Linked DNA regions of Elephas maximus indicus. The main gene of each other region encodes a partner of the protein of the gene in region 2 in a complex. Links are inferred from orthologs where the notes say so. Each region holds a gene or a part of one and is shown on either strand. Other genes may lie near its edges. The genes, in order: PTAFR, GNAI1, C5AR1 and XCR1.

Evidence for each region.
Region 1: the proteins of GNAI1 (region 2) and PTAFR are in contact, whole or in part, in a cryo-EM structure (PDB 8XYD), measured with the Homo sapiens proteins. The link is inferred for Elephas maximus indicus from reciprocal best matches to the Homo sapiens genes GNAI1 and PTAFR. Residues at the interface, in NP_002060.4 of Homo sapiens: Arg32, Asp193, Leu194, Glu318, Ile319, Tyr320, Phe336, Thr340, Asp341, Ile343, Ile344, Lys345, Asn347, Leu348, Lys349, Asp350, Cys351, Gly352, Leu353, Phe354; in NP_000943.1 of Homo sapiens: Ile52, Arg115, Ala118, Val119, Pro122, Ile123, Thr125, Ala126, Gln127, Ala128, Arg222, Asn223, Val226, Arg229, Ala230, Met233, Val234, Thr297, Lys298, Arg301.
Region 3: the proteins of GNAI1 (region 2) and C5AR1 are in contact, whole or in part, in a cryo-EM structure (PDB 8HK5), measured with the Homo sapiens proteins. The link is inferred for Elephas maximus indicus from reciprocal best matches to the Homo sapiens genes GNAI1 and C5AR1. Residues at the interface, in NP_002060.4 of Homo sapiens: Arg24, Ala31, Arg32, Glu33, Val34, Lys192, Asp193, Leu194, His195, Lys314, Glu318, Tyr320, Phe336, Thr340, Asp341, Ile343, Ile344, Lys345, Asn347, Leu348, Lys349, Asp350, Cys351, Gly352, Leu353, Phe354; in NP_001727.2 of Homo sapiens: Asn71, Arg134, Leu137, Val138, Pro141, Ile142, Cys144, Gln145, Asn146, Phe147, Arg148, Ala150, Thr229, Arg232, Arg233, Ala234, Thr235, Arg236, Ser237, Lys239, Thr240, Val243, Val244, Ala303, Gln305.
Region 4: the proteins of GNAI1 (region 2) and XCR1 are in contact, whole or in part, in a cryo-EM structure (PDB 9AST), measured with the Homo sapiens proteins. The link is inferred for Elephas maximus indicus from reciprocal best matches to the Homo sapiens genes GNAI1 and XCR1. Residues at the interface, in NP_002060.4 of Homo sapiens: Glu28, Ala31, Arg32, Leu194, Asp315, Phe336, Thr340, Asp341, Ile343, Ile344, Lys345, Asn347, Leu348, Lys349, Asp350, Cys351, Gly352, Leu353, Phe354; in NP_001019815.1 of Homo sapiens: Glu63, Thr66, Arg127, Ser130, Val131, Pro134, Leu135, Leu138, Val140, Arg146, Tyr205, Leu212, Ser215, Ser217, Lys218, Arg219, Arg222, Thr223, Leu226, Ile227, Val290, Gly291, Val292, Lys293, Phe294.

Annotation. Positions count from the first base shown.
Region 1 is NC_064821.1:68,600,439-68,608,402, reverse strand, and holds the start of PTAFR (platelet-activating factor receptor), read left to right. Parts: upstream 1-4,884; 5' UTR 4,885-5,142; intron 5,143-7,964. UniProt on the Homo sapiens protein: Receptor for platelet activating factor, a chemotactic phospholipid mediator that possesses potent inflammatory, smooth-muscle contractile and hypotensive activity.
Region 2 is NC_064826.1:49,916,001-49,923,436, forward strand, and holds the start of GNAI1 (guanine nucleotide-binding protein G(i) subunit alpha-1), read left to right. Parts: upstream 1-4,340; 5' UTR 4,341-4,432; intron 4,433-4,592; exon of another isoform or gene 4,593-4,658; intron 4,659-4,749; exon of another isoform or gene 4,750-5,019; 5' UTR 5,020-5,066; coding exon 5,067-5,184; intron 5,185-7,436. UniProt on the Homo sapiens protein: Guanine nucleotide-binding proteins (G proteins) function as transducers downstream of G protein-coupled receptors (GPCRs) in numerous signaling cascades.
Region 3 is NC_064829.1:101,635,260-101,642,752, forward strand, and holds the start of C5AR1 (C5a anaphylatoxin chemotactic receptor 1), read right to left. Parts: upstream 3,028-7,493; 5' UTR 3,011-3,027; coding exon 2,807-3,010; intron 1-2,806.
Region 4 is NC_064838.1:50,384,659-50,391,655, reverse strand, and holds the start of XCR1 (chemokine XC receptor 1), read left to right. Parts: upstream 1-3,983; 5' UTR 3,984-4,000; intron 4,001-4,486; exon of another isoform or gene 4,487-4,610; intron 4,611-6,997. UniProt on the Homo sapiens protein: Receptor for chemokines SCYC1 and SCYC2. Subsequently transduces a signal by increasing the intracellular calcium ions level. Receptor for XCL1/Lymphotactin.

The DNA.
Region 1 (7,964 bases), on a different chromosome or scaffold from region 2:
TATATATTTAAAAAAATTTTTTTATTGTGCTTTAGGTGAAAGTTTACAGCTGAAGTTAATTTCTCATACAAAAATTTATACACATATAGCTTTGTGATATTAGTTGCAGTCCCCACAATGTGACAGCACACTGTCCCTTTCCATCCCAGGTTCCCTGTGTCCATTTGACCATCTGGTTCTTCTGGCCTCAGGGTAGATGAGGCCATGGCTCATGTAGGCTATCAGCCCTATGGACTAGTTTCTTCTCTGAGACTTTGGTTTCCTTCTTTCTCTTTTGCTCCCAACAAGTAGAGACCAACAGTTGTATCTTAGATGGCTGCTTGTAAGCTTTTAAGACTTCTGATAATACTTACTCACTAGGATGTTGAACACAAACTTTGTGATGCCAGTTGAATGAGCTGTCCCAAGAGAACTTTTTTTTTAACAGTAACTTCTTAATGTCTAAAATTGTCATGAAACCTTTTTGAAAAACTGGGTAAGTAATACATGGACACATTCTCACTAAAAATGACTCAATACCTAAAAATATGGAACAAAATATTAAAGTCTCATTTCCTCTCCTTATCCTTTCCAGACAGGACAAGTATCTTGGTATACAGCCTTCCGGTCTTTTTCATATGATTTTCATAAAAGAAACATATATGTATAGTTACAAGCAATAATTTCCTGCCCCATAACTTCTCATTCCCAGTTCAGTTCCCCAGAGATCATCTCTTCTAACTCTTTTAGCTGTTCCGTTGTTTATGGTTATTTCTTTACTTAATGAACCAACTGCTGTCACATTGACTTTGACTCAAGGAAACTCCATGTGTATCAGAGTAGAACTGTGCTCCATAGGGTTTTCAATAGCTGATTTTAAAGAAGTAGATGGCCAGGACTTTCTTCCAAGGCACCCCTGGGTAAACTTGAACCTCCAACCTTTTGGTTAGCAGCTGAGCACATAAATCATTTGTACTACCTCCTTTCTTTACCTAACAAATTTTCAATGATATTCTGCCCTCCATCTCTGCTTACTCCTATCTTCTCGATGCACTTACAACACTTTTAATAGTTCCTCTATATACCTTTGAAACCAGGAGCAATAAACTAATCACTATTTTATTTCTTGTTCCATCAACTATGAACTTTTGACTCCCTTCAACCTTCCATCATATATACCTTTACATTTCAAGACTGAAACATTTGCTGTTTGTTCTATAGGTATAATTAAGTCATCCATGATGGTTTAGGCCTAAAAACTGAAAATCAAAAGTATTTCCAATATTGTGACCAGGTGAAACTTGTTCAGGGTGATCTCCGGAATTACATTCCCCTTCTTATAATTTTGTTTCGTTTTCTTTTTTTCTTTTTAATAATTTTTATTATGCTTTAAGTGAAAGTTTACAAATCAGGTCAGTCTCTCACACAAAAACTTATATATACCCTGCTACATACTCCCAATTACTCTCCCCCTTTTTTTAATGAGGCAGCCCGCTCTCTTCCTCCACTCTCTCTTTTCGTGTCCATCTCCCCAGCTTCTAACCCCCTCTACCCTCTCATCTACCCTCCAGGCAGGAGATGCCGACATAGTCTCAAGCGTCCACCTGATCCAAGAAGCTCACACCTCACCAGCATCCCTCTCCAACCCATTGTCCAGTCCAATCCATGTCTGAAGAGTTGGCTTTGGGAATGGTTCCTGTCCTGGGCCAACAGAAGCTCTGGGGGCCGTGACCACCGGGGTCCTTCTAGTCTCAGTCAGACCATTAAGTCTGGTCTTTTTACAAGAATTTGGGGTCTGCATCCCACTGCTCTCCTGCTTCCCCAGGGGTTCTCTGTTGTGTTCCCTGTCAGGGCAGTCATCGGTTGTAGCCGGGCACCATCTAGTTCTTCTGATCTCAGGATGATGTAGTCTCTGGTTCATGTGGCCCTTTCTGTCTCTTGGGGTCGTAATTACCTTGTGTCCTTGGTGTTCTTCATTCTCCTTTGGTCCAGGTGGGTTGAGACCAATTGATGCATCTTAGATGGCTGCTTGCTAGCTTTTAAAACCCCAGACACCACTCTTCAAAGTGGGATGCAGAATGTTTTCTTAATAGATTTTATTATGCCAATTGACTTAGATGTCCCCTGAAACCATGGTCCCCAAGCCCCTGCCCCTGCTATACTGGCCTTCGAAGCATTCAGTTTATTCAGGAAACTGCTTTGCTTTTGGTTTAGTCCAGTTGTGCTGACCTCGCCTGTATTGTGTTGACCTCGCCTGTATTGTGTGTTGTCTTTCCGTCACCTAAAGTAGTTCTTATCTACTATCTAATTAGTGAATATCCCTCTCCCACCCTTCCTCCCTCCCACCTCTCGTAACCACAAAAGAATGTTTTCGTCTCAGTTTAAACTATTTCTCAAGTTCTAATACTGGTCTTATACAATATTTGTCCTTTTGCAACTAATTTCACTCAGCATAATGCCTTCCAGATTCCTCCATCTTATGAAATGTTTCACAGATTCATCACTGTTTTTTATTGATGCATAGTATTCCATTGTGTGAATATGCCATAATTTATTTATCCATTCATCTGTTGATGGGCACCTTGGTTGCTTTCATCTTTTTGCTAATGTAAACAGTGCTGCAATAAACATGGGTGTGCATATATCTGTTCATGTAAAGGCTGTTATTTCTCTAGGATATATTCTGAGGAGTGGGATTGCTGGGTTGTATGGTAGTTCTATTTCTAGCTTTTTAAGGAAGCACGAAATTGATTTCCAAAGTGGTTGTACCATTTGACATTCCCACCAGCAGTGTAGAAGTGTTCCAATCTCTCCACAGCCTCTCCAACATTTATTATTTTGTGTTTTTTGGATTAATGCCAGCCTTGTTGGAGTGAGATGAAATCTCATTTTAGTTTTGATCTGCATTTCTCTAGTTGCTAATGATCGTGAACATTTCTTTATGTATCTGTTAGCTACCTGAACATATTCTTCAGGTTTGGATATATTTTAAAGTAGAACTGACAGAATTTGCTAACAGAATGGATGTGAAGTATGAGAGAAAGAAGGAGTTGGGGAAACCTCAATTTCCCCGTTTGTAAAATGTTGGTAGTAATATCTGGCATCCTACCCTGCTTATTGATAATCTCAAAAGAGGTATTGCTGTGCAGTTGCTACAAGTACGCATGTAAGGGACTATGGAAAAACAGCCCTGTACCCAGGAATCCTGGACCTTTAGGTGGGTGTCCTGGGAGTGGCCATAGGAAGGCTGGTGGACCCCAGGAGCCCCTCCCAGGCTTGATGTCCTCCTGGAGTCTTGTAGCTAGAGGAGAGCTGAGGAGGTAAAGCAGGTTTGGGGAAAACGGGCCTGGGTTGGGGAGCTGGGGATTTGGCTTTCAGGGGGACAATTTACTTGAGGGTTAAAAGCAATGAACAGATGTTTTCTCTTGCGCTTCAGGGCACTCAAGGCTCCAAGGGCCTCTAAGGGAGATAAGGAAGGATGATCACACTGGGTCTGTTTCAAAGTTCCTAACAGGAGGCTTGGGCCACGTCAGGAGATTTGAGGAGAGTGCTTGTGTTGGTTAAATGAGCATGAGGGAGTAAGTGAGTCTGGGCAGTAAGCGTAAGAAGGGGAGTATGTGTGGGCACCTGAGTGGCTGAGCTGACGTGCGAGTGAAGAACATAATTGTGAGTGGATGTCTTAATGTGATAGTTTCTATGGAGTACCTGTGAGTGTGCAAGGGTTATGTGTACGTGGTTTGAGTGTGTCTGCCTCTATGTGGTGGGTGGGTTCAGGGGGGAGGGGAAGATTTTGGCTGTAGGTCTTAAGGGCCGAGGCCTATGTTAAAGGTGGTTTATCCTTTGAAAGCTATTTTTGGCTTTGATAAGGAGCAGCCATGGGGTCCCTTCAGCAGGAGGAGGCTAGCCCAAACCCTCAGGTGGAGCTGAGGATGGACCCATCACTCATGGCTGTGTAGCATCTGACTTTCTCTGGCACTCTGTTTGAACCTTAGTTTCCTTCTCTGTGTTGGAGAGGGTTAAATTGGCTAATATATGAGGGAGGGTCTTGCTTCCTCAGACAGTTCATGGTACCTGGAGGCGCTGGGGGTGCTCAGTAAATGCAGGCTGAAAGAATGAGTGAACAAATGGACTGGAGGCTGAGGCAGGGAGCTCTGTGCCATCCCTCACTTACATACACATGAAGCCCCCACCAAGCTCATACATACATGCTTACCTGTGTTCACCCTCAATTGCCCACACCTGTTCATCCTCATGCCCACTAATCCACATGCTGCCAAACTCTGGCTCAGTGTCTTATGAAGTTTCCCTCCTCCACTTCTGCAGAAACTCTGTCCCCATGGGTTCTTTGGGCTCTGTGCTTCCTGGTCACCAGGGATGCCCACACCATTCATGCCTCTCGCTGGTCACAGTAGCAACCCTGCACCCCTCCCTTCTAATCCTTTTTATATTCTAGTTCGCTCTCTCTTTTCACCTTTTCCCTGTCTTTTATTTTCTCTCTGACCGCCCCCCCCCCACACACACAGAGGCACAGACACACACACAGAGGCACAGACACACACACAGAGGCACAGACTCACTGTCTGGGTCCCATCTTTTTCCGTCTCATCTTTTTCTCTTTTAACTCTCTTGACCTTTGTCCTTGTAGCGTCTTCATTCCTGTCATGCTCTCGCTCCATGTTTACATTTGTCTGTCTTTCTCTGTGTTCCTTTCTCCCTCCATCTCTTCCTCCGCCCTCTCTCATTTTCCCCTAACTCCTCTCCCTCCTCCCTCCTCATTCTATTTTCTGGATCACTCATTTCTCCTCCCTCCTCTTCTTCACTCTCATGCTCAATTTCTCTCTCTCTCTGGAGTGCACTCTCACGCTTTCTCTCTCTGACCCAGCTCCCTAGCACTGTGGTTGTTGCCCACAGCGCACTGCCCCTGCTCTGTTAGAAGCTTCTAAGCAGTACCCAGGGCCCGGGTGGCCCAGCTTGGATGTTTCTGTGACATCCGTTGGGGGCCCTAGGGTCACGGCATTTCCTCCCGGGGGTGACTTGGCAGGGGTGTGCTCTGTTTTCTCACTTCTGCAATTTCCAGTCAGCACAGAGGGTGAGGCTGGGGCCGCGGCCCAGACGGAGACACTCAGACCCTGCAGTCAACTGTGGCCGCTGCCCTGGGTACAGGTAAGGGGGCCCCAGCCCTGGCTGGGTAAAGGGGGGAGGCTGCACTTAATCAAATGGGTGCTTCTGTTTTTAAGGGACTATTCTGGTACCTTCTTCAGGCCCAGAGCCTCATGTTTAAAAAGAATTTCTTCTGGCCAAACTTTCCAGGGGACTTAGCTCCCCTTTCTGGTTGTCTGAGGTCAGCCAAGACAGTGCTGAGGTGACCTCACTGGAGGTGCTGTGGTGATGAGAGGTGGCTTCCTAGCTCTCAGGGAGCTGAATGCCATCTACTTTATTGGATGTGTGACCCTGGCCAAGTTTCACCCCTCTCTGAGCCTCGGTTTCCTCAGTTGTCTAATGAGAATGATGTCTCCCTGGCAGGATTGTCAGGAGGATAGAGGGTCTAGCAGAGGTCTGGGTACTTGGGAGCTCACTAAATGCTAGGTTTTCCTGGGAGATGATGAAGATAATGAGGATATTGGTACAAAAGGCCAGGCCCACAACCATTGCCCCATCAGGTCCTAGGCGATAGGGACAGGGCCCAGGCTGTTACCTCCCTGTCCCTCGCTAGCTTTGGTGAGCAGGGTTCCTGCCCAGGCACTTGCTCGCCTGTGTGGAATGACGGCATCAGTAGGGGAGGGAGGGCATTCTGTAAGCATTTGGGCTGCTCTGATGTAGCTCTGACTGAATACACAGCTGTGCGCCAGGTGCTTGGCATGAATGTGTGTGTTTGGAGGTGGGGGAGGTGCTAGAGAAGCAAAAGGAAAAGCCTAGTCCTTCCCTTTAGGTACTAACAGCCCAGCCTGGGAAAGAAGTCAGCTCCGGGGCTGCAGAAATGGTCCTGGGCCCGAGGTGGGCACCCAGGGTTTTGATTTCAGTGTTTGCTGGCAAGCTGAGACTTTGGGCAATCCGAGACCCCCAGTTTCCTCCTTTGAAGATTGGTGTTTATAATACTGACCTTGTGGGTTTGTGGGGAGGATGAAGTTTGAGGCCAAGTGTGAAAGTGCTTTGTCAGTTGTAACATGCTGCATGATATGAGCCAATGCATTACTAGAATTCCTGACACTGTAATTGTTACTGTAAACACCTTTAGGATGAGGAATTTGCTTTGTTCGGTGTTCTATCCTTACCTTTAGCACAGAGTTTGATACATAGTAGATGCTTAGTAAATACGCATTGACTTAATGAATGATAAAGTCATTTGTTGTAGTCAGAAAGGAATGGATAGTGAGCCAGAGGTCCCTCTTCTGGTCTCAGCTCTGCCCGTGATACTGTTGTCACCTCAGGCCTCAGTTTCCACATCCGTCCAACTCAGGGTTTAGATATGATGTTCATAGTCTATGGCATTAATGACAAAATGCACACCCAGGACTGAGCTTTCTCTCCTGATCTGTATTGGAGTGAAAGTGGGAAGGGGAGAGGCGGTTGTTGTGAAAGACTGGGACACAGCCTGTTTGTCCTTTTTCTGGGGAGACTTGAAGGGCCTGTGAACAAGGCCCTGATGGGGACATGGGGGTTCACCTTTTTTCCAATGGCAGCCTCAGTTTCCCTATTTTGGTCCTCTGTCTTACCTAGAGCCCCCCACTGGGTGGAGGCCCAGGCCCAGGAGGGAATGACAGCCGAGCTATAGCCTGAGAGTGCTCTGTGACTGGGCCTGTGAGAGGGTGTTGGACTGGGGGAGCCAGTTCCCAGGAGGGAAAATGCTGAGCCCCGAGCCCTGCCACCTCTCTGACCAGCCACCATGGGGTTCCTTGGCAGCATGGTGGGAGGGGAGAGGAACCTTTTTTTGTGTGTGCATATATCTTGCATGTGTGTGTCTGTGTGTGTGGATTGGGGAATTGCCTTTTGCTATACCCACAAGTGTCTGGAGGGCAGGCCAGGAGTATGTGCCACTTGCAGGTGGGCCCTGGTACAGCCCAACAGTTCCCAGCAGCAGTGTCACTAACAAAACCAGCTGAGAGGCTGATATGCTGGTGGCTCCTCTGTTCCTTTCTTCCCTGGTGCCTTCAGCCAAGAGGAATCAAAAAGAAGCCTGTGCATAAATGTGTGTGCTCAGGCTCCAGTGTGTGTGTGTGTGTGTGTGTGTGTGTGTGTGAATGTCTGTGGTGGGGAAGAGGACTACCACTCAGCAGCCCTTTCCCACCCTCTTCAGCAGGAGGGGGCCGCTCAGGGTCTGGGTTTGGAGTTGAGCTCACCTAGCTGGGGGTGCAGATGGTGTATGATCCCAGTTATATGAAATATCTGAAACCGGCAAATGCATAGAGACAAAAGTGTATGAAGTGGTCACCAGGGGCTGGGGGGAGAAGGAGGGAATGGGAGTTATTGCTGAAGGGTACTGAGTTCTGTTTGAGGTGATGTAAAACCTTTGGAAATGATAGTAGTGCTGGTAGCACAACACAGTGAATATTAATTAACATCATTGCATTGTACACTTAAAAATGGTTAAAATGGCAAACTTTGTTTTTTTGTTTTTACCACAATTAAAAAAAAAAAGCAAAAAACTTTGTGCAGGACCCTTTACAGTTGATACAGGGCTTTTCAGTTTACCAAGTGCTTTACTGTTTACCAAAGCCTTTGTCAGCCCCAGGAATCTCATTTCCTTCTCACAACAATCAATGCTTTCAGGTGGGTGGGGCATCCTATTTTGCTGGTACAAATCCCAAGGCTCCCATCTGGGAAAAGACTCACTCAGGACTGCGGATGGGTGGGTGGGTGACACGGCTGAGGCCAGGGTCTAGGTCTCCTGAACCTAATTCCTCGGCTTTCTCTCCAGCCACCTCTGGATGCTTTTTCCAGAAGGGGAGATGTGACTGGGTTCCTGTATGACTGATTTGTTTACTTAT
Region 2 (7,436 bases):
TGAGGGACAGAGAAAAATGTACAGTTTGTGGATGGAAGGTCTCTGCAGTCTTGAAGAATTGATGGTGATAAGAGAGGGGGCTGGAAAGATTAGAATGGAGGTCAGAGTACGGGGTAGTCATGTTCTTTCCATTGTTCCATAACAATCTCCTTTTCTCCACCTGCATAATACTTGAGAAGAGTCATGGCTAAAATGCAACTATGGCAAATTCCCCCCAAAAATCCTGCTCTCCGTCTACTATCCCGTGTATCTCTCACTCTCCGCAATTAAAACTACTGAGTCTCTTCATTCAGCTTCTGCATTCTCAGTGTTTACACACTCCTTCATTCTACATGGTAAAGCTTCTGTTCACAACAATAGATCAAAGTGCTTTGGTGCATTTGCCAACAATCTCTTCCTGTTGAAATTAAAGACTCACAGGAACTTAGAATTGTTGGGATCGTGCAGATGATCTAATTCAATGCCTACATTTTTCTAGATAGGGATAGTGTAATTAAGGGACATTTAAAGACATGTAATAGACACAGTTTAGAATTGCTCTAAATTCTCCAGTTTACCTACTTACAGCTTCTTTCACCATACCACTATTGCCAATGTTCTTTTTCTTCATACTTGTCCCTGTTGATCTTTTTCTAATGCATTTGAAATCATAAATAGCCATTTTTTTCTTAAACTTCTCCCTCCTTCACTTACGTGCTTATAATTCTTAGTGTCTCCTAGCTTCATCGACATATAAATTAGGCTCACATTTCTATTCATCTCCGATGATTTTAAGATGTATCTGCTTCAGTAGGAAATTAAGCCTTCTAGAAGTATTTTCCAGGTATTTCTACTAGTCCACCAAGGTGGCTTCATATTCACACGAGCACAAACAAGTCTGTTGTCTAAAGTCACTGCCTAATGTCCTTCTGTTTTCCTCTTTTCCAGTGTTCCCTTTTGTCATTGCCACTGGCAATGAAGTTACTTGAGGGAGACTGAGCACTGCCCATAGTGCAGTGCCCATCAGGAGGATGTGACTATCCATGCCCAAAGTACTGTCTTTAGATGGCTTTTAGTGCCTCGGTGCTCAGGTGCCTGAGTCGTGGTACGCTCCACGTAGAGACGATGACCTCCATATCATCTCTGAGCCAGATGTTGCACCCTGTGTATCTGAAGAGCCCTTCTTGTCTCACGAAGTATCTTAGTAGTAATTCTATGAGCTTTTGTTTTTTGACCTTTGCCCAGAATCTCACAGCATGGCTAATGCAAATAGTTTGGGTTTGGTATCTTTATATCTCTAACAGTGTAACAGCACAGATGCCCCTCTATCCTTCCAATTATCCCTAATCTTTCCCCAATCCAAACTCTTCCCTTCTCATTTAGAAAGCAAAAAACTCAAAGCAAACAATAGAGAAGTGTACACATAGCACAACTGCTCCTAATTTAACCAGCCAAAGATGTACTATACACTGCTCTTTTGATCGATGTATGTTTATAGGTCCAGATATAGATATCTATGTCAAAGTCCTAACTCTCTTATATGGTTCCAGTTTATCCCCACACTAATCCACTGACACACCAAGTCAGCATATCTCAAATCCACTCTTCTTACGTTCTTTGGCTTCATTTTGTCAGATGCTAGGACATGCAAGGAAAAGGTTGGAGGCTAGAAGGAGTTTCTGAGTTCTAATCTCAGTTGACACTAATCCCATTTGTCTTCTGAATAACATAGAATCTCAAGGTTGGAAGGGATCTTAAAAGTTATCTCATCTAGCTTTAGACTGTGCCCGGTAAGATATCATACAACCTAAATTTGTACATACTAGTCAAGGATGTTACAAATGTCTCCTTTCAGATGAATTGTACACTGTTCTTCCTTACATCAAGGTAAAATTTGTTTGCTGTAGCTTCTTTCTACTACTTCTAAATCTACCACTTTGGAGACAGAAAGAAAATGTTTATTCCCTCTGATTCATGACATCCCATCAGTTACTTGAAAACAGCTATCATGTCACTTTGTAGCTTCTCTTTCCTACATTACATATTTTCAACTTCTTCAATTATTCCTTATGACAGAGTTCAGAGTTACTTTAAAACCTAGATGTTCTCTGCTGAATGTGTTCCAGTTAGTCTCTTGGCATATGTCTCTGACTCTCTTAATATATGATGCTCAGTATTATTCAGTAATGAAAAGAAATATTGATATATGCTACAACATAGATAAATCCTGAAAACATCATAAGTAAAAGAAGCCAGTCACAAGTGATTACATATTGCATTATTCCATTTCTATGAAATTCCAGAATAGGCAAATCTAGAGACAGAAAGCATAATGGTGTTTGCCTAGGACTGGGGGAGAGGGGTGTAAAATGGGGGCCTGGGGAGTGACAACTAAGGAATGCAGCATTTCTTTTTGGGGTGACAAAGATGTTCTGACATTGATTGTGGCGATGCTTCAACAATTCTGTGAATATACTAAAAGTCACTGAATTGCGTACTTTAAGAGTAAATTATATGGTATGTGAATTATATCTCAATAAAGCTATTTAAAAAAGAAACGTGATGCTTAGAAAGGAAATCAGTACTCTGAAACAAAGTGTTTTCACCTCTAAATCTCAGCTTCACTCTCTCTAAAATGGATGAGTTAATAAACTCTTTACCTTGTTGATAAAGTTGTTGAATCATATTTTGCTACCTCATAATTATGTAAGTTATTAATTAGTTTGAGTGACTTTCATCACCTCATATCTGGATTACTAACACAGTCCACTTGTTGGTAACCCATTTTTTTACACATAGTGGCAAGAGTTTTTTTGAAGCACCTATTCCCCAACTCACTAAGAAGAATATAAGGAACACTTAGTACCCATTGTATCAAGTCCAATTCTTCACCTTTGTATTTAAAGCTCTTTTCCAACTTTGTTCTATACTTCCTACCATTCTTCACAGCCCAGCTAAATTTTAGTTATAAAACACTTGTTCTCTCCTATAGACACTTTGCATATTAACCCTTTTAGCTGGTTATTACTCTCAAACAAAATATACCCCTTGAAACTCCCCACCAATCCCAGTCATCATATCCTTCAAAAGTTCTTTCAAAACTTTCTTCTCTTGGAATTTGCCCTCAGACTGATCACTCTATTACCTGTATCCTCTCAGAAGTTTATATACAGCTAATTTGAAGTTCTTATTCTTTCATTATTATCCTTTAACTCCTAAACTACTTGACAAGATTATCAAATGAGAGAGGTAATGTTTATGATTCTGTTATACCTTCTTTTCTCCAAAACACTTTCTGTAGTCATTTCCACCAGTACTCCGCCATGATTGCTTCATCTTTTGCTGCAACTTTTTGTTAGTCATATGCTCTATCTGGTCCGAAGCTTGCAGGAAAAAAGAATCACAGTAACAGATAATCCAAAATGACTAATACACAAACACTATATCGAAAGTTAACTTCCTTAAGCTTAATTTCAGAGTTACTCATGAACATCAACATTTAGAGTGCCAAGAAATACAAAAAGGTAACTCAAGGCTAATTTTTACAGATGAATTTCAGAAAATAAGACTTCCAGATAGATATCAATTTCTAAGTTTTAGTACATCAATGAAGAAATTTGACTACCAGCCCCATCTTCTAATCAGTCAGCCTTTCCTGTGGTGTGTGTAAGACAAAGATGGAGTGCAACAATGGCAGTTGGGATCACCAGCCTGACAGGGAGAGATCAGGCAGTGAACTTAAGCAATTATATTAGGCACTAGATACTGGGTGAAATGTCTGTCCAGCCCCAAGAGCTCATCTTGCCCAAACCAGTTAGAGCTGGAAGAATGGGGCCATCAAGTACATCAACCCTTCACCATTTTATGAGTGAGGAAGCTAAGGTCTGTTAACAGGAGTGCCATGCCCAATGGCACAGGAGTTATTAACAGGGTCATAAATACTGGTTCAAAATTTGACAAGGAAGTTCACAAGCTGCTCCAGAGGAGGTCTGTTACGGTGTGGAGCAGATTTGTTTGTGTGGGTGTGTTTTATTGCTCTGGTCATTTTTTATACATGCTTTGATTCTTTGTCTCTCATCTTCTCAGATTATGAGGAAATCCTTCAAAATGTTGTTTGTGAAAAAGAAAAGTGATAATGGGTGGAAGAAAAAAGGACATTACAAAGGACGGGAAACTGAAGAAAAGGAGAAAGTTACTGACCCGTTTTCTCCCCGACTTTTCCTGCTCCCCACTGTCCCCATCTCTGGTTCCACCGCGGCTCCGTTCCCTTCCCAGCTGCCTGTTTCCCACGGCCCAGAACGCCACCCGACAGGGGTTCTACATTTTGAAAACCCTTGCGTGGGTGCGGAGCTGGGCATGCTCAAAAGCTCAGGACTGGCTTTGCTCGGCTCTCAACTTTGGCAGCTCTCCCACCGCCACACCGAAAGCGGCAGGTCCGCACAGATCCCTCGGTGTGAGTAAACGGGAAGAAATTATCGCACTCCCTCGGAGGGAGGCGGGTGGCAGAACGCGAGGACCCAGCCTCACCGGGCAGTTCCGCGCTCCTGTGGGCGCTTCCAGGGCGCGGGCTCGGGGGGTGGGGGGTGCCCGGATCTCGGGGACTGCTCGGCGCCGGGGAGCGGCCGGGCACGTCGGGAACGCGGGGGCGCGCCCCTCCGAGGGAGCTCTGTCCGAGGCAGGTGCGCGGGAGCGCGCTCTGGGAGTGGTCCCAGGCTGGCGGGAGGGGCGGGCAGGGGCGGGGCCGCGGCGGCGCGCGGACGCCGAGCTCCGCGGGGCTTGGAGAGGCTGCGGCGCGGCCAGCGGCGGGAGGGTGGCAGCTGCTGCATCTGGAGGCTCCAGATCCCGGGCTTCTGGGCGCTGAGGGGCGCCAGGAGCGGAGCCTGGCCTTGAGGAAAGGCTTTGAAGAGGCCGCCTGCTTCCTTGCAGACACCTTTTTCCTAGATTCCGTTGACGAAGTGGGTGGGGGTGGTGTGGCCCACGTCGGGAGGTATTTGAACTGCCGCATCCAGAAAGAAAGAATTTCCCCGTGTTTGGAGACAGCACATCGGACGTGGAGGGAGCGGCGGTAACCTCTCGCTCTTGGCACAATGGGCTGTACGCTGAGCGCCGAGGACAAGGCGGCGGTGGAGAGGAGTAAGATGATCGACCGGAACCTCCGCGAGGATGGCGAGAAGGCGGCGCGCGAGGTCAAGCTGCTGCTGCTCGGTAAGGGCGGCCAGGCCGGACGCCGGGGTGGGGAGGACGGCCTGGGGGTCCCAGGGGCCGAGGGGGAGCAGGCCGGTGGGCTGGGCGCGGCGCGCCGGGCTGGCTGCTGCCGGGGCTCGGCGTCTTCGAACCCGAAGGGAATGTGTCGAAGCGGCCGATGGCGCGTCTTGTAGCGCCCGAGGGTGGTTTCGGAGAGGGAGGCTGTCCAGGGCGGTGCAGCGCCCAGGGGTGCCCTCCTGTCCCCCGGTCGTCTGCCTCCCATCGCCGTGGAGGGCGAGAACTCGGCCGCGGTGGGGCAGGAGCCTCACTTCATCCGAAGCTTTCGTGTGGCCCCTGCAGGTAGCCAGGGAGCGATTTTAAAGCGGCAGATGGCGCGGAAACCCTTTTCTTTGAAGTTAGCTCAGCCTTGTAAAGATGAGCATTCATGGCAAGAAAATAAGAGTCTCCCTCCCCCGGAGACCTTTCATACCCGGTGTTGTGTCGCGGTTGTGGTTTCACTAGTCCAGAGTGGCACTTTGCGTGAAATCAGTGAACCTTTTGTGGGGCCTTTGGGGTTGAAATGTGTCTTTCCTGTCAACTTCCGATGGCGATTCAGTAAGTGTTACAGGAACACTGATTGTATTTACCTTGCGGAAGGAAATAGGCTGCTCTACGTGCTTTATTTTTCCTACTCCGGGGGCATGGAAACCACCAAAGTTGGGTTACGTTCGCTCCAGTCGTGGATCAGACGGATAAATGAGTGAGGAAAACTGATGTGAAAGGTGCGAAAGGGTCACGCCGACAACAGGATTCTCTCTCCGGCCGCCACGGTTTCTGATAAATGAGGTTTGCCAGGTACAAGCCAGGATTTTGTTTAGTCTTAGTCCTCATAATGAAACGTTACGTGGAGGACTTTTTCCATTGCTAATGGGGGAGAAAATAAAAAAAGAGTAAACCAGGGTTTTGACTCAGGGATATGTTAGGAAGATATTCACAGTTTAAGATGTTTAGTTTTATGAGTTAGGGTTTTCTTTTGTTTCCTTGACTCCCTTGCCCCCACCCCCACCCCACTCTAAGTAGAGACAGGTTTCTCAGAATCTTCATTTGCACTTCCAGCGATTGCTTATATATATATAGACATACATACAGTTATAATAAAAGAGAAATATTGCAGAAACCTGTTTTCAGCAAGCGTCTGTGTCACTGGTTTAATGACTGCAGAAAAAAATGGTGGGTTTTTTTCCCCCATCACTAGCAAGCTTAGAAGCAGCGAACCTGGCATGACTAAAAGTAACTATGATCTGAGTCATTCTGAAAGTAAACTGAAATAACTTTGCATTTCAAAGACCTGAATGTCTTTACCTCCTCCCCACAACATAAACCTTCCTCAATTTATACTGTTTACCTGAGGTTTTGCATTAATACCAAAAAACCAAACCCCGTGCCGTCGAGTCGATTCTGACTCATAGCGACTCTATAGGACAGGGTGGAACTGCACCATAGTTTCCAAGCAGCATCTGGCAGATTCGAACTGCCGACCCTTTGGTTAGCAGCCGTACCACTTAACCACTACGCCACCAGGGTTTCCTTACATTGATAAGAAATACTATATTTTTGACCAGGTCAGTATATTTGCAGTGTACTGAGCACAGAAGAGACACAATTTGCTAAAGAAACACTTCGACTTTTGTGAATTGCATGAGCTTGAGAGTAAAAATAAGACAGGATTAAAAAGTTCCTTTGTTTAGTTTTTGCCCTCCTGCTCTGGTATTATTTTTGTATATTTCATCGTATCTTAGCTTGAGCCAGCCATCCACCATGTTTAAGACAATTGCAAAATGATTCCTCTGGTGGTGGTGGTTTATGCTTTAATGAGATGTCTGTTAGAAAGGGATAGAGTTTATTTTTACTTATATTCAGAATAGACTAGTGTTTCTCAACCTTAGCACTATTGATACTTTGGGCCAGATAATTCTGTGTTGTGAGGGCTCTTCTTACATCATGCAATATTTAGCAGCATCTTTGGCCTCTTATGATTTGGATGCCAGAAGTCTCCCCCTCAGGTTGTGACAACCAAAACTATATCCAGACATTGCCAAACGTTTCCTGGAGGCAAAATCAACCCTGGTTGAGAACATCTGGTCTGCATTAACAAATATAGTTGAGTGTGTGATGTAGAACCAAAAGTTTCATCTCTGCAGCATTCTATAGTTAGAGTCATGGGGAATATGTAGCAAAGTCATGATTTTCAGGGGAAATTATAAAATTCTAAT
Region 3 (7,493 bases), on a different chromosome or scaffold from region 2:
CGACCGCTCTGACAGGGATCATAATAGAGGGTCCCAGACAGAGCGGGAGAAAAATGTAGGAAAAAATTCAAATTCACAAAAAAAACAGCAGACTTACTGGTCTGACAGAGACTGGAGGAACCCCTGAGACTATGACCCCCGAACACCTCGCTAACTCAGAACTGAAGCCACTCCCAGAATCCACCTTTCAGCCAAAGATTAGACAGCCCTATGAAAAAAACAGGAGGGAGCCCTGGTGGCACAGTGGTTAAGAGCTTTGCTGCTAACCAAAAGGTCTGCGGTTCAAATCCACCAGCTGCTCCTTGGAAACCCAGTGGGGCAGTTCTACTTTTTTGTACAGGGTCACTATGAGTCAGAATCAACTTGATGGCAACAGGTTTGGTTTTGGGGTGGGGGGGATGAAACAAACAATAACACATGTGAGGAATGTGCTTCTTAGTTCAATCAAGTATACATAAGACCAACTAGGTAACACCTGCCCAAAAGCAAAGACGAGAAGGTAGGAAGGGGCAGGAAAACTGGTTGAATGGACACGGGGAAACTGGGGTGTAAAGGGAAAGGGGGAAAGTGCTGACACATTGCAACCAGTGTCATAAAACAATTTGCTTATAAACTTTTGAATGAGAAACTAATTTGCACTGTAAACTTTCACCTAAAGCACAATAAAATTTAAGAAGAAATAAAGACTAAGAAAAAAACTGAGGCAGGATGACAGGCTTATTGAAATGTTCAGAAAGCATCTCTGACTTCTTCAAGAAAGCTATTACCATGAAAAAAACAAAAACAAAAAAAGGAGCCCCTGGGTGGTGCAAATTGGCTGCTAGATGAAAGGTTGGCGGTTCGTGTCCACCTCAGAAGAAAGACCTGGTGACCTGCTTCTGAAAAATCAGCCATTGAAAACCCTATGGAGCATGGATCTACTCTGACACACATGGGGTTGCCATGAATAAGAATTAACTTGACAGTAACTGGTCTGAACTGGAAGCAGTAAAAAACGTAAACACATTTAAAATATGCGGTGAAAAAGACAAGCTTCCAGGTATTTTGAGGATGCAATGAATGAACTGCCTCTCAGGTTGGCAAAAGTAAAAAAAAATGCGATAAAACTGTGGGTGAGGGCATAGGGAAACAGGCACTCTCAGGCACTATAGGTGGGAAATATAAATTGATACAATGTTGGTAATCTGTTAAAATAAAAATTGCACATGTCCTGGATTCAGTGTTTGCAATTCTGGAAGCTCAAAGGTAAGTCCAAAGATATAAGTACAGGAATACTCATTGCCGTTTTAGTTTTAAAGCTCATATATTAGAAACAACCTAATTCTCCATTGATAGGATCAACCACCAACTGGTACCCATGTGTTATGGATTGAATTTTGTCCCCCCAAAATGTGTGCCATATTCGCTAGGCCATGATTCCCAGTATTGTGTGGTTATGCGCCATCTTGTGATCTGTTGTGATTTTCCTGTGTGTTGTAAATCCTACCTCTATGATGTTAATGAGGCAGGATTAGAGGCAGTTATGTTAATAAGGCAAGACTCAATCAACAGGATTAGGTTGTATGTTGTGTGAATCTCTTTTGAGATATAAAAGAGAATATAACAGAGAGGAGGGGGACCTCCTACCACCAAGAATGAAGAACCAGAAGGGGAGCACATCCTTTGGACCTATATCCCTGTGCTGAGAGGCTCCTAGACTAGGAAGATCGATGACAAGGACCTTTCCCCAGAGCCCGACAGAGAAAGCCTTCCTCTGGAGCTGAAGCCCTGAGTTCAGACTTCTAGCCTCCCAGACTGTGATAGAAGAAATTTCTCTTTGTTAAAGCCATCTAGTTGTGGTATTTCTATTATAGCAGCACTAGATAACTAAGACACTGTGTTTACATCTGAAGGAAACGACAAGGGGTCTGAGGCTCAGGGGTGGTCAGGGAGAGTGAATTTTCACTGAATCCCCTTCGGTGTTTTGGAATATTTTACAGAAAGGACGAAAAGAAGAAGCAGCAGCAGCTAGTAAGTTGCCCTATTCTGAAAGTCCTGTTTGCCCAAGTTGGATGTTAAAGGTGGGATGAGGAGAGTGAAGCAACATCAAACCCCTCCCATGTCCATCCAACTTGTTTTCCGTTTCCCCTTTTGGCCAGATGAAGCAATACCTGAGAGAGACTCCAAGTGCTAACCCACAGCCCTGCCCAGCTTGGTCCCCAGACCTCAGGATGCAGATGTGTAAGGGGGGCCCTCGCTGCACCGGGGGACAGCATCCCTCTGAGACTCACAGGATCCAAGGAACGTATCAGTTCTGCCACCAACCACTGTGAAGGACCCAGGCCATTTCTGCCCTGGCCTGGGCTTCAGTTTCCCCATCTCCACTATTGAGAATATATGAAATTCCACGGGAGTAACATCTTCATGCCTCCAAGCTGGCTGTCTCCAGCCTCCCAACATTCGCCCCTTCTGTTCCAGCTGCCTGGAACTCCTTTCTGAAATTCTTCTCTTGTGGAATTCTTAGTCATTTTTACAAGACCCAACTCAAGGGTTTGCTTCCCTGGGAAATGTTCTTGGACCTCCAGCCCTGTGGGGTTGCTGTGGCTCCCATTGTCCCTTGACAGCCTTAATCCTTAAACTTCATCCCAGCCCTGGAGTCCGAGACTCTGAGATGAGGAAGAAGGGAGAAGAGGAGTGATTGAGGAGGGGGATAGGGAGGAAAGAAAAGGAGAAACACGAGAATGAAAATGCTGGAGAGAAAAAAGGAGCCGAGAAATGAGGGAACAAAGGTAGAGAGTTCCTATGTCCAAGCTCCTTCTGAACTTACCATGTTCTGGTCTTCTGGGCTCTTCGCTGAGGGAAGGTTCCTCTTGCCCACAAGGGCTGTGGTTTTTAAACCCCCAAGGGAGGGTGCGGAGAGCCGGGGAGGAAATGACCATCTTTCCTTTCTGGGGTTCTGATTGGTCTGTGCACTGGACACTCTGCTGGGCCCCCTTTCTGGGGCACACACACACCCAGGGACTCCGAACATCTCCCCCCAGTCAGAGGAGGGAGGACAGGGCGTGGAATACTGAGGAAGTCCCTGGTATGAGAGAGGAGAAAGCCAGCTGGAAGAGCCCCCTGGCCCCCACCCCAATCTGGGTTCAGCCCCTTTCTGTGCCTTGGCTACCCCATTTTAGAGCTCTCTCTTCCCTTTGCACCACAGCCCAGGGACCCAGCTACCTTAGACTCCCACGGGGGCCTCGGGAAGCAGGGTTTGTGGCCCCTGCCTCCCAGCCAGGTTGCTCTGAAGTGCAGAGAAGCCAAGCAGGTCTGAGGAGGTGGCCCAGTGCTTGGGCACATTTTGCTGTTAAATCTTCTTTCCTAGGGTTTTGAAAAGGAACCCTAATTGCACAATGGCTAAGCTCTTGGCTACTAACCAAAAGGCTCCACAGGAGAAAGGCCTGGCAATCTGCTCCCATAAAGGTTTCAGCCTAGGAAACCCTATGGGCCAGTCCTATTCTGTCACATGGAATGGCCCTGTGTCAGAAACAACTCGACAGCACCCAACAACACAACAGAGTTTTGAAAGGAGTCCCCAGGTGGTGCAAGCAGCTAATTCGCTCAGCTGTTGACCAAAAAGTTGGCAATCTGAGCCTACCTAAAGGCACCTCGTAAGAAAGGCCTGGCAACATGCTCCCAAAAAGTAACAGCCTTAAAAACCCTATGGCGCACACAGTTCTACTCTGCACACAGAGGTCAACGTACGTCGGCAGCAACTAGTTAGGGTTCTAAAGTTGGTAGGAGAAGCCACCCCCTGAGCCACAATTGTCTGACTTGGAAATGGGACCTGTGTCTTGTCTGTTTCAGCCTCTTTCTGGTTCTCTGGGAGATGTGCTGGAGCCAGGATAGAATAAGGATCCTGTATTAGTTTCCTACAGATGCCATAGCAAAATACCACAAACCTGGTGGCTTAAAACAATGCAGATTTATTCTCTCACGGTTCTGAAAGCCAGAAGACCAAAATCCAGGTGTCAGCAGGGCTGTGCTCCCTCTGAAGGCTGTCAGGGAGAATCCACCTTTACCTCCTCCAGCTTCACGTAGCACCAGGCATTCCTTGATTTGTGTGTCTCTGCCTCTGCCTTCACGTAAAACCAAAACCAAACCCACTGCTGTCGAGTCGATTCTGACTCATAGTGTCCCTACAGGATGGAGTAGAACTGCCCCATAGAGTTTCCAGCCCTGTAATCTTTACAGAAGCAGACTGCCACATCTTTCTTCTGCAAAGTAGCTGGTGGGTTCAAACTGCCTGTCTTTCGGTTAGCAGTCAAGCACTTAACCACTGCACCACCAAGGCTGGAGCCAAAATCCAGGCGTTGAGTTTCCTCCTGGAGGAGGGCTTCTAGAACTGCCTTCCTTGGCTCATGGCCCCTTCCTCCATCTTCAAAGCCAGTAGCCTAGCATCTTGCTTCCGTCCTCACATTGCGTTCTTCTTCTGTGTCACATTTGCCTCTTATAAGGAGCCTTGTGATTGCGTAGGAGGGCTTTGCTTCCTCTAAAGCCCCTAAGGGAGAACGCTTCCTTGCCTCTTCCACTTTCGGGTGGCTCCAGGCGTTCCTTGACTTCTGGCCCCATCACTCCTATCTCTGCCTCTGTCTTCACAAAAAACCAAAACCAGCCCATTTCTGTCACATCGATTCCAGTTCATAGCGACCCTGTAGGACAGAGTAGAGCTGCCCCATAGGGTTTCCAACCAGAATGACATATCTTTCTCCCCCCAAGCAGCTGGTGGGTTTGAACCGCTGACCTTTCGGTCAACAGCAGAGCACTTTAATCACTGCACCGCCAGGGCGCCTACGCAATCACAAGGATCCTTATAAGAGGGAAGCAGAGGCAGATTTGACACGAAGAAGAACGCAATGTGAGGTCTGAAGCAAGACTCTAGGCTACTGGCTTTGAAGATGGAGGAAGGCGCCATGAGCCGAGGAAGGCAGTTCTAGCAGCTCTCCTCCATGAGGAACACAACACCTTGAATTTGGTCCCAGCCAGAATTAGCCAGCACAGTGGTTAAGCGCTCAGCTGCTAACAGAATGACTTGCAGTTCAAACCCACCAGCCGCTTCACAGGAGAAAGATGTGGTGGTCTGCTTCCATAAGGATTTACAGCTTGAGAGACCCTGTGGGGCAGTTCTATTCTATTCTATACAGTCGCTATGAGTCGGAATCAACTCCACAGCAGTGGGTTTTTGGTTTTTTGTGATTGCATTTGGGGATCACCTAGATAATCCAGGGTCATCTCACCATCCCAAGATCCTTTACTCCATCACATCCGCAAAGACCCATTTGCCACGTGAGGTAATATATTTGTAGGTTCTGGGGACTCGGACTGGACGTCACGGAGGCCATTATTCAGCCAATCACAATGAATGACGATGCTGACTGAAGATTGCAAACCAGGTGCATTTTACACACGCTGTTTTGCAATCCTATGATCTATCATCCACCTCCTTCCTCCACAGTAAATATTTTTCTATGACAGGCAGTGGTGGTTCGGTGGTAGAATTCTCATCTTCAATGGGGGAGACCTAGGTTCAATTCCCAGCCAATGCGCCTCATGAGCCAACACACGCCTGCCAGTGGAGGCTTGCATGTTGCTGTGATGTTGAACCAGTTTCGAAAGAGCTTCCAGACTAAGACAGACTAGGAAGAAAGACCTGGCGATCTACTTCCAAAAGTCAGCCAGTGAAACCCTACGAATCACAACAGTCCAATCTGCAACCCATCAGGGGTATGGCACAGGGCGGGGCAGCATCTTGTCCCACTGCGCACGGGGTCGCCGTGAATCAGGGGCAGCTAACAACAACAACCAAGTATTTCTCTAGGGCGACTTCGATTTTTAAAAATTGAAAAGAATGGTGGTGAGATAACATGGGTAGAGATGTCGAGAACGTTGACGCAATGTGATGAATGTAACCAACGTTATTGAATTGTACCTGTGGAAATTGCCAAATGGGTATATGTCCCGCTGTGTATATTTTCACCAAAATTTAAAAAGAAAAAAATAGTTTTCTTTTCATTACAGAGGTAATCCATGCTCATTGCAAACATTCCAACAATCCGGAAATAACTACTCCCCCCCAAAAAATTAAGCTTTGAAAGTCCCCTATCTGCCACCCTGTTGAAACTCTTCCTAGCAGTTTGGAATGTATCGCCCAGACTTCTACAAATGTGGTATTTGTGTTTGGGGATGGGCACATGGGTGTATGCTATTCAGCAAGTTTTGGTTCCATTGAACGAAGCCGTGTGTACAGTCCGCTGTTGTGTGCCATCGAGTCGATTCCAACTCATAGCAACCCTATAGGACAGAGTACAATTGCCCCATAGGTTTTCCTAGACCATAATCTTTATTGGGGCAGATTGCCTGGGCTTTTCTTCCAAAGAGCAGCTGGTGGGTTCGAACCACCAACCTTTTGCTTTGCAGCTGAGTGCTTAACCATTGCACTACCAGGGCACCTAATGTACAATCTGCTGACTCAGAAAGGATTTTGAAGTGGATTTACAGAGATTGAGGGTGCACCCTAGGAATATGGTGTTGTGTTGAACCTGACCTCAAGGAGGCGCTTGAGGGGGAAGTGGGGAGGAGACGCAGGAGGCCAGGTGACACCCACTTTACTTTTATGATTTTGGATCCAAGTTATATATCCCCTTAAATCATGAGTTAAGATTTTCTATGCTCTGGGCCCCTGGTGAAGCTCTGGACCTCTTCTCAGAATGCTTTTTTTTGGATAATTTTTTTCTTTTAATGTAATTTCAAACTTAAAAAGAAGTTACGAGAATAGCAAAGGCAATTTCTGTATGCCCTCCACCCAGACTGACTCTTGGTTAGTAATTGTTCTATGTGCTTTAGCATGTTTGCGCTATTTATGTATGTGGGGTACCTATCTGTATATCCGTATCTATGGTGGCAAAGGAAACCCTGGTGGCCTAGTGGTTAAGAGCTATGGTTATTAACCAAAAGGTTGGCAGTTCGAATCCACCAGCCACTCCTTAGAAACCCTGTGGGCAGTTCTACCCTGTAGGGTCGCTATGAGTCAGAATCGACTCCACAGCAGTGGGTTTTTTGGTTTGTTGCCATCCAGTAGATTCCGACTCATAGCGACCCCTTGTGTGTCAGAGTAGAACTGCTTCATAGGGTTTTCTTGGCTGCAATCCTAACTGAAACAGATTGCCAGGCCTTTCTGGAGGATGGCATGTTGCTATGATGCTTAACAGGTTTCAGCGGAGCTTCCAGACTAAGACTAGGAAGAAAGATCTGACAATCTACTTCCAAAAATCAGCCAATGAAAACCCTATGGATCACAATGGTCCTGTTGTGCATACGATCCCCACGAGTTGCTGACTTGACTGCAGCTAACAACTACAAATATCTATTATCTATCTATACATTTTTTTCCTGAATCATTTACGAGTAAGTTGCATCCATCATGGGCATTTACCACTATATTCTTCAGTGTGTATCTCTTAAGAACATGGATA
Region 4 (6,997 bases), on a different chromosome or scaffold from region 2:
GATGGACCACATGGACATCTTGAGTCTGCTAAAATTAGTGTCAGTTCAGAGCCAATGTCTAGAATTCCTCAAAAAGTCTAAGTATTTTCCTTTCCCCAATACACAGTGACCCAGGTAAACGGTTCTAGATCCCTTTGGGGAAGGCTTGGAGAAAGATTAACAGTATAAAATTAACCAGTATAAAATTTTGGCAGTGGACCAGGGTTCTTCCTCAAGGGGATCTTGCCTCTCCTTCATTCAAGGGGTTCTGGGTCTGTAAACTGTTTTAAGTCTAGGAGGGGCCACGACTCTCTGTTTTGATGAAAGTTAGTCTTCTGTTCACTCAACCTAAAATTCTTCTGATTCTACACACCAAGTAAGAATTTAATAGACTGTTTCTTTTCTAGGGACACATGATCATCTAGCCAGTGCCACAGGTCTCCGCAAGTCAAACTATTCTGGTTACTTCTTTGACCTTACTGTTCATTACGGTAACCACATCCACCTTGTCTTTGGTGATTAAGTGCCACCACTTGGCTCCTGACACCCTTGGATCTAATTATGTATTCCTATTGCATTTACAGATGTCACCTCAGTGGCAGCGGTTTTCATTGTAATCTCTGACCTACAGAAAAGAGCAACTACAGAGATCCTCAAGGATGTTGGGCTTCCCCTTATAAATTTATTTCTCATAGTAGTGGTGAAAGGTATGGACCTTCCTTGGGAGAATGAGCAGATCTTGCATGAAAAATCCACTCAATTATTTCTCTCTCCCTAAGATTTTGGACAGTTCCCTCTGCAGTATACCAAGGCTGTTCTGACATTTCAACTTTATTTAGTGTAGCCTGCCTTTTGGTCCATGTTTCAGCCAACTGAACAAAGAACAATTAGAGTCCTTTCTAACTCCTCAAGCTAAAAAGCTGAATCCAGAATCTGTACTTAGAAAGCCTATAGCAATAAATTTGGCCCGATCTAACTTTACTTACCTTCTACGCTTATCCTATACCCTTAGTGTCTATTCCCACATATATTACCTAGATTTCTGTCTATACAAATTGGAAAAATAATGTTTTTTTTATGTGTGGTGAACCTCCTTATGAGTCATACTTTGTACTTCATCCTTTGGGAACTGGTGGGACTTGAGTCCTTTCAGGTCTAGAAGCAAAGAAGGATGGTGGAGGTAGGTCCTGAAGAGAATCAGCAGCACCTTGCAAGGCAAATACCTCAGGGGAGGCCATTAAAGATTCTTTAGGTTAAGCAGGGTCAGTTTCCTCAGACAGGAGTGAAGGGCTGCTTATACTGGCAAAGAAGACTCAGCAAAATTTAGAGGTTTCTTGTCCCCAGCTTCACTAAGATCTTCCCCTATTTCCTCATTCCAATTTTTAGAATCCAATTCCTTCCCGATCAATGGCCTCAATTTAACAGAAGACACCCTGTGAGGTTGGGGATTCAGTTTGCATTGTAATTCAGCCCCTCACAGAATGAGAGTCTTTGAGTTTGAATTTCAGAAATCTCAGCCCTGCAGCTAAAGGAAATAAAGGTTTCTTTCACAACAGACATGGACGCTTTCAGGTCATTTATGTGGCACTTGAACTGAGAGTTGGAAGCCCTAAGCTCAGCCTCTATTTCCTCACTTTGTCTAGGACAGTTAGGAGCAACCAGTCAAACCATTATTTCCTTAGTTTGACTAAAATGTTCTAAATTACCAAATACATGGTGGCCTAGAAACTTGCCTTTTGTAAGTATTTGATTAGAAGTATCCAATGACAATATTTTGTGTATCTCTATAGCCACATTATGCCATGAACTACCAGGGCCCTCTTTACCACAGGAAATAGTCATTAGTTCCTTTAAATCTAATAAATTTAGAGAACTAACTTCTGCAATCCCTCCAGAAACACAGTATTGGTTTTGGTTTGCTATTTTCCAGAAAACCCACAGCCAATTCAGAAAATTCATCAAGATTATGTTCCTACAGAGAAACATTTATTGCAAGGAATTGGCTATGTGATTATAGGGGCTAAGGAGACAAGTCCAAAATCTGCAGGCTATCAGGAAGGGCAAACTGGAAACTCTCAGGCAAGAGTTGATGCTGCAGTCAGGCAGAATTTCTTCTTCCTCATGGAGTTCTGCTCTTGAGGCCTTTAATTGATTGGGTCAGGCCCACCTGGATTATCAAAGATAATCTCCTTTATATGAAGTCAACTGATTGTAGATGTTAATTACATCTACAACACCCATTTTAGTGACTGATTGAATAACTGGATGCTAAAAAACCAAACCAAACCAGTTGCCATCAAGTTGATTCAGACTCATGGCAACCTCACGTGTTTCAAGTAGAACTGCACTCCATAGGGTTTTCAATGGCTGTGATCTTTCAGAAGTAGATTTCCAGGCCTTTCTTCTGTGATGCCTCTGGGTAGATTTGAACTGCCAAGCGCTTAGCCATTTGTACTACCCAGGGTCTCCTAACTGGATACTATTGCTGTTGTTATTAGCTGCTGTTCAGTCAGCCCCAGATTCATGGCAATCCCACATACAACAGGAAGGGACCATTGTGATCCATAGCGTTTCCATTGGCTGATTTTCAGAAATAGAGCACCAGGTCTTTCTTACTAATCTTCTTAGTGTGGAAGCTGCACTGAAATCTGGTTATCATTGCAGCAGTACGTTGGCAGGGAACTGCCAGAAACTCAAGCCGGATTCAGAAGAGGATGTGGGATGAGGAATACCATTGCTGATGTCAGATGGATCTTGGCTGAAAGCAGAAAATAACAGAAAGATGTTTACCTGTGTTTTATTGACTATGAAAGGCTTTCAACTATGTGGATCATAACAAATTATGGGTAACATTGTGAAGAATGGGAATCCCAGAACATTTAATTGTGCTCACGAGGAACCTGTACAGAGACCAAGAGGCAGTCATTCGAACAGAACACGGGAATACTGCTGGCAAGAATGTAAAATGGTGCAACCACTATGGACAACAGCTTGGCAATTCTTCAAAAATGTAAGCATCTAGTTACCACACAATGAAGTGATTCCACTCCTACATACATATCCAAGACAAACGAAAACATGTTAACATAAAAGCTTGTACATGAATGTTCATAGCAGCATTATTCATAATAGCCAAAAAGTAGAAACAACCCAAGTGCCCATCAACTGATGAATGGATAAACAAAATGTGGCACTATATGTCCATATAATGAAATATTATTCAGCCATAAAAAGGAATAAAGTGATGACACATGCCACAACATGAATGACCCTTCAAAACATTATGTTAAGCAAAAGAAGCCAGACATAAAAGCCCACATAGTGTATGATTCCATTTGTATGAAAATGGTTAGGTGTTTCTCTTTCTTTGAGCATGAGAAGAATAGGCAAAACCATAGAGACAGGAAGTAGATTAGTGGTTGCCGGGGAGTGGGGGAGGGCAAGCGGAATTTACTGCTAATAGGTATAAGGTTCTTCTTGAGGTGATGGAAATATTCTGGAATTGGATAGTGATGACGGCTGTGCAACACTATTAATATTCTAAAAACCACTGAATTGTATACCATGAAATTATTAAAACGGTGAAATTTACCTCAGTTTTTAAAAAATAATAATAGCCATGCATAACTAGTTCGTTAAGCAAATCAAACTTTTGGTAAAATCAAAATGCAACTTTTTGTTGTTGTTGTTGTATCCTGCCCTTTAGAATCTCTTCCAAATCCCAAATTACCTGCATTTATGCTTGGTGGGACGCAGGGGGCCCAAATGACCCTTGAGTTGTAGACCCTACACGCCTGTGGAGAGAGTCTGGGTGACCAGCTAATTTCTGTGTGAGCAGTGATGCAGCCAGATTCTAACATGAGATGTTGGGTGGGAGTAGAGAGGTTGGGGGTGGATCAAGCCAGCAAGCCACTGGGTGATGGGAAGAGGAGGAAGTAGTGAAGACTTTCCCAGATTTGGGGGAGGAGAAAGAGAAGCACCATTTCTGCTTCAAGACGCATGTGAAGAGGTGTAGATTCAGGTGAGTTCCTTTGCTTACATTTTCCTCTGCTTTTAAAAGCCTCTACCAGGAGTTTGTTTACCAGGAGTTCTTAAACTTTGGTGGGCATCAGAACTACCTGGATAGCTAGGAAAATAAGATTTCTAGGCCCCACTTCCAAAGGTGCTGATTCAGTAGATCTGGGGTGGGGGTCCAAGAAGCTGCGTTTCTGACAAGCTCCAAGTGGTCTGATGCGGCTGGTCTGTGAACCACACTTCCGGTAGAAGTAACCTATAGAATGTTCGTTTGTTTTTTCCTTTTTTACCACTGAAGAAGTGGAGGGATTACTTGGTTACAGACCTTTGTGTAGGCCTTGGTATTATTAACTATTGTATGATTTAGAAGAGTGTCTCTCAGTCCAAATTACATTGTGAGTCAGAAAGCTAAATTCACTCCCTGAGAGTTGAGGTGGGCCGTGGAGTTGGGGAAGAAGAGAATGACAGGAAAAAGGGAGCCAAATCCCTGGTATGTAACTCAGAGATGTCTGGAGTTGAGTGCCATCCTTCTTTGTATCCTCAGGGCCTTTCCAGGCCCAAAACTTGAATGTCTCTGAAATTTTGAGTAAATTATTGAGTAAGAAACAGAAAACTGGGTAAGTTTTTGTAGATGTCCCATATTCCTTTTATTTCTGGTTTTCTGAGAGTTTATATCATGAACAGGTATTGAACTTTACCATGCTTTTTTTGCATTTATTGAAAAGGTCACTGGTTTTCCTTTTATTCCATTAATACGGTGATTTAAATTTATGTTTGACTATTAAACCAACCTCACATTTCAGGAATAAACACACTTGGTTGTGATTTATTATTCTGTTTATATATATTGATGGATTTAATTTTAAAGATTTTGTGTCTGTGTTGGTAAGGATTATTGGTCTGTAGTTTTCTTTTATTTCAATGTTTTTGTCTGATTTTGGTAACAGGATTTTGCTGGCCTCATAAAACAAGTTGGAAGGCAATCTATTCTCTATTTCAGAAATAGTTTGTAGACTTGGTATTATTTTCTCATTAAATATTTGACAGAATTCACTAGAAAAGTCATCATCAGGCTCTGGAGTTTTCTTTGTGGAAAGGTTTGCTACAGTTAGTTTCTATGATAATTATAAGACTATTCAGATTTTTGTGTCATCTCATGTCAATTTTAGTAGGTTAAATTTTTAAAGAAATTTGTTCATTTCACTTAAGTTGTTGAATTTGTTAACATAAAATTGAACATACTATTTGTCATTCTTTTAATGTCCATAAGATCTGCAGTAATAACCCTTCTTTCATACATATTGGCAACTTGTACTTTTCTCTTTTTGTTTTCAATCTGTCAATCCAACTAGCTAGCTAGGGCTTTAGCTTTTTCTTTCTTTTTTTTAATTTCCAAGGGACCAATTTTATTGTTGTTCATATTCTATCTTGTTCATTCCCTATTTTGTTAATTTCTGCTTTTATCTTTATTATTTCCTTCCTTCTACTTACCTTGAGTTTAATTTGCTTTTGCTTTTCTAGCTTTTTCTGGGTCGTTGATTTTAGAAATTTCTTCATTCTAATGTAAACATTTAAAGCTACAGACTTCTCTCTATGCACTGCTTTAGTTAAAAAAAAAAAAAATTTTTTAACTGCTTTAGTTACAGTCCACTAATTCTGATACGTTGTATTTTCATTATTGCTCAGTTCAATACGTTTTATCATTTCCCCTGTGATTTCTTCTTTGACTCATAAAGCCTTTCAGAGTATGTTGTTTTATGTCCGAATTACTAGGAATTTTTTAGATATCTTAATTGTTATTGATTTCTAATTCCATTTTGGTCAGAGAACATAGTCTATGTAATTTTGATCTTCTTAAATTTATTAAGACTTCTTTTATAATCCAGAATATGGTCTATCCCTTGTGGATATTCCATTTGTATTTGAAAAGGACACATACTCTGCAGTTTTCAGGAGTGATGTCGGTTACATGAAGTTGGTCCATGGTTTTGTCCAGATCTTCTATGACTTTATGGGTTTTTTTTTTGTCCAGTTGTTTTATCAACTACTCAGAAAGGGTGTTAAAATCTCTAGCTATGATTCTGGATGTGTCCATTTCTCCCTTTAATTTTGCTAGTTGTTGCTTCATGTATTTTGAATCTCTGTTACTAGGTACATATAGATTTATGGTTGTTATGTCTCCTTGATGAATTGACTCCTATAATGACCCTCTTTAATTCGAGTTCTCAGGTAATATGTTTTCCATCCATTTACTTTCAAACTATCTGTGTCTTTATGTTTAAAATATGTCTCCTGTAGACAGCATATAGTTGGGTCTTACTTTCTTTTACCATTCTGACAATCTTTGTCTTTCAGTATCATTTAATGTAATTATTGACATGATTGGATTCAGATCTACTGTTTTACTACCCGCTATGTTTGTCTTCTTTTGATTTTTGTACCTGTTTCTCCTTTCCTGCCTTCTTTTCAACTATTTGAATTGAATTCCATTTTAATTATCCATTGACTTTTTAGCTATACTTTTTTGCATTATTTTTCAGTCACTGATCCAGATTATAATAAAATCTTAACCTTTTTATAGTTAACTTGGAGTAAATATTGTATTGCTTCACATAAAATGTAGAAATTGTACAACCATATTAGTCTATTTAACCACCCCCAATCCTTTACGTTATAGTTGTCACGTGTATTATATTTATGTGTTATAAATCCCATAATACAATTTTATAATTTTTGCTTTAAAATATCTAGATATTTTAAAGAAATTTAAAATAACAATATTTTCTATTTATTTCCTTTTTTACATTTCCAGTGCTCTTTTGTCCTTCCTAAAGATTTGAGTTTCCATCTGGTATTATTTCTCTTCAGTTGAACTTCTATGAGCCCTTCTTACAGTGCACCTCTAAAAAAACCAAAAACTAAACCTGTTGCCATCAAGTTGATTCCGACTCATAGTGACTCTATAGGACAGAGTAGAACTTCCCCATACGGTTTCCAAGGCTGT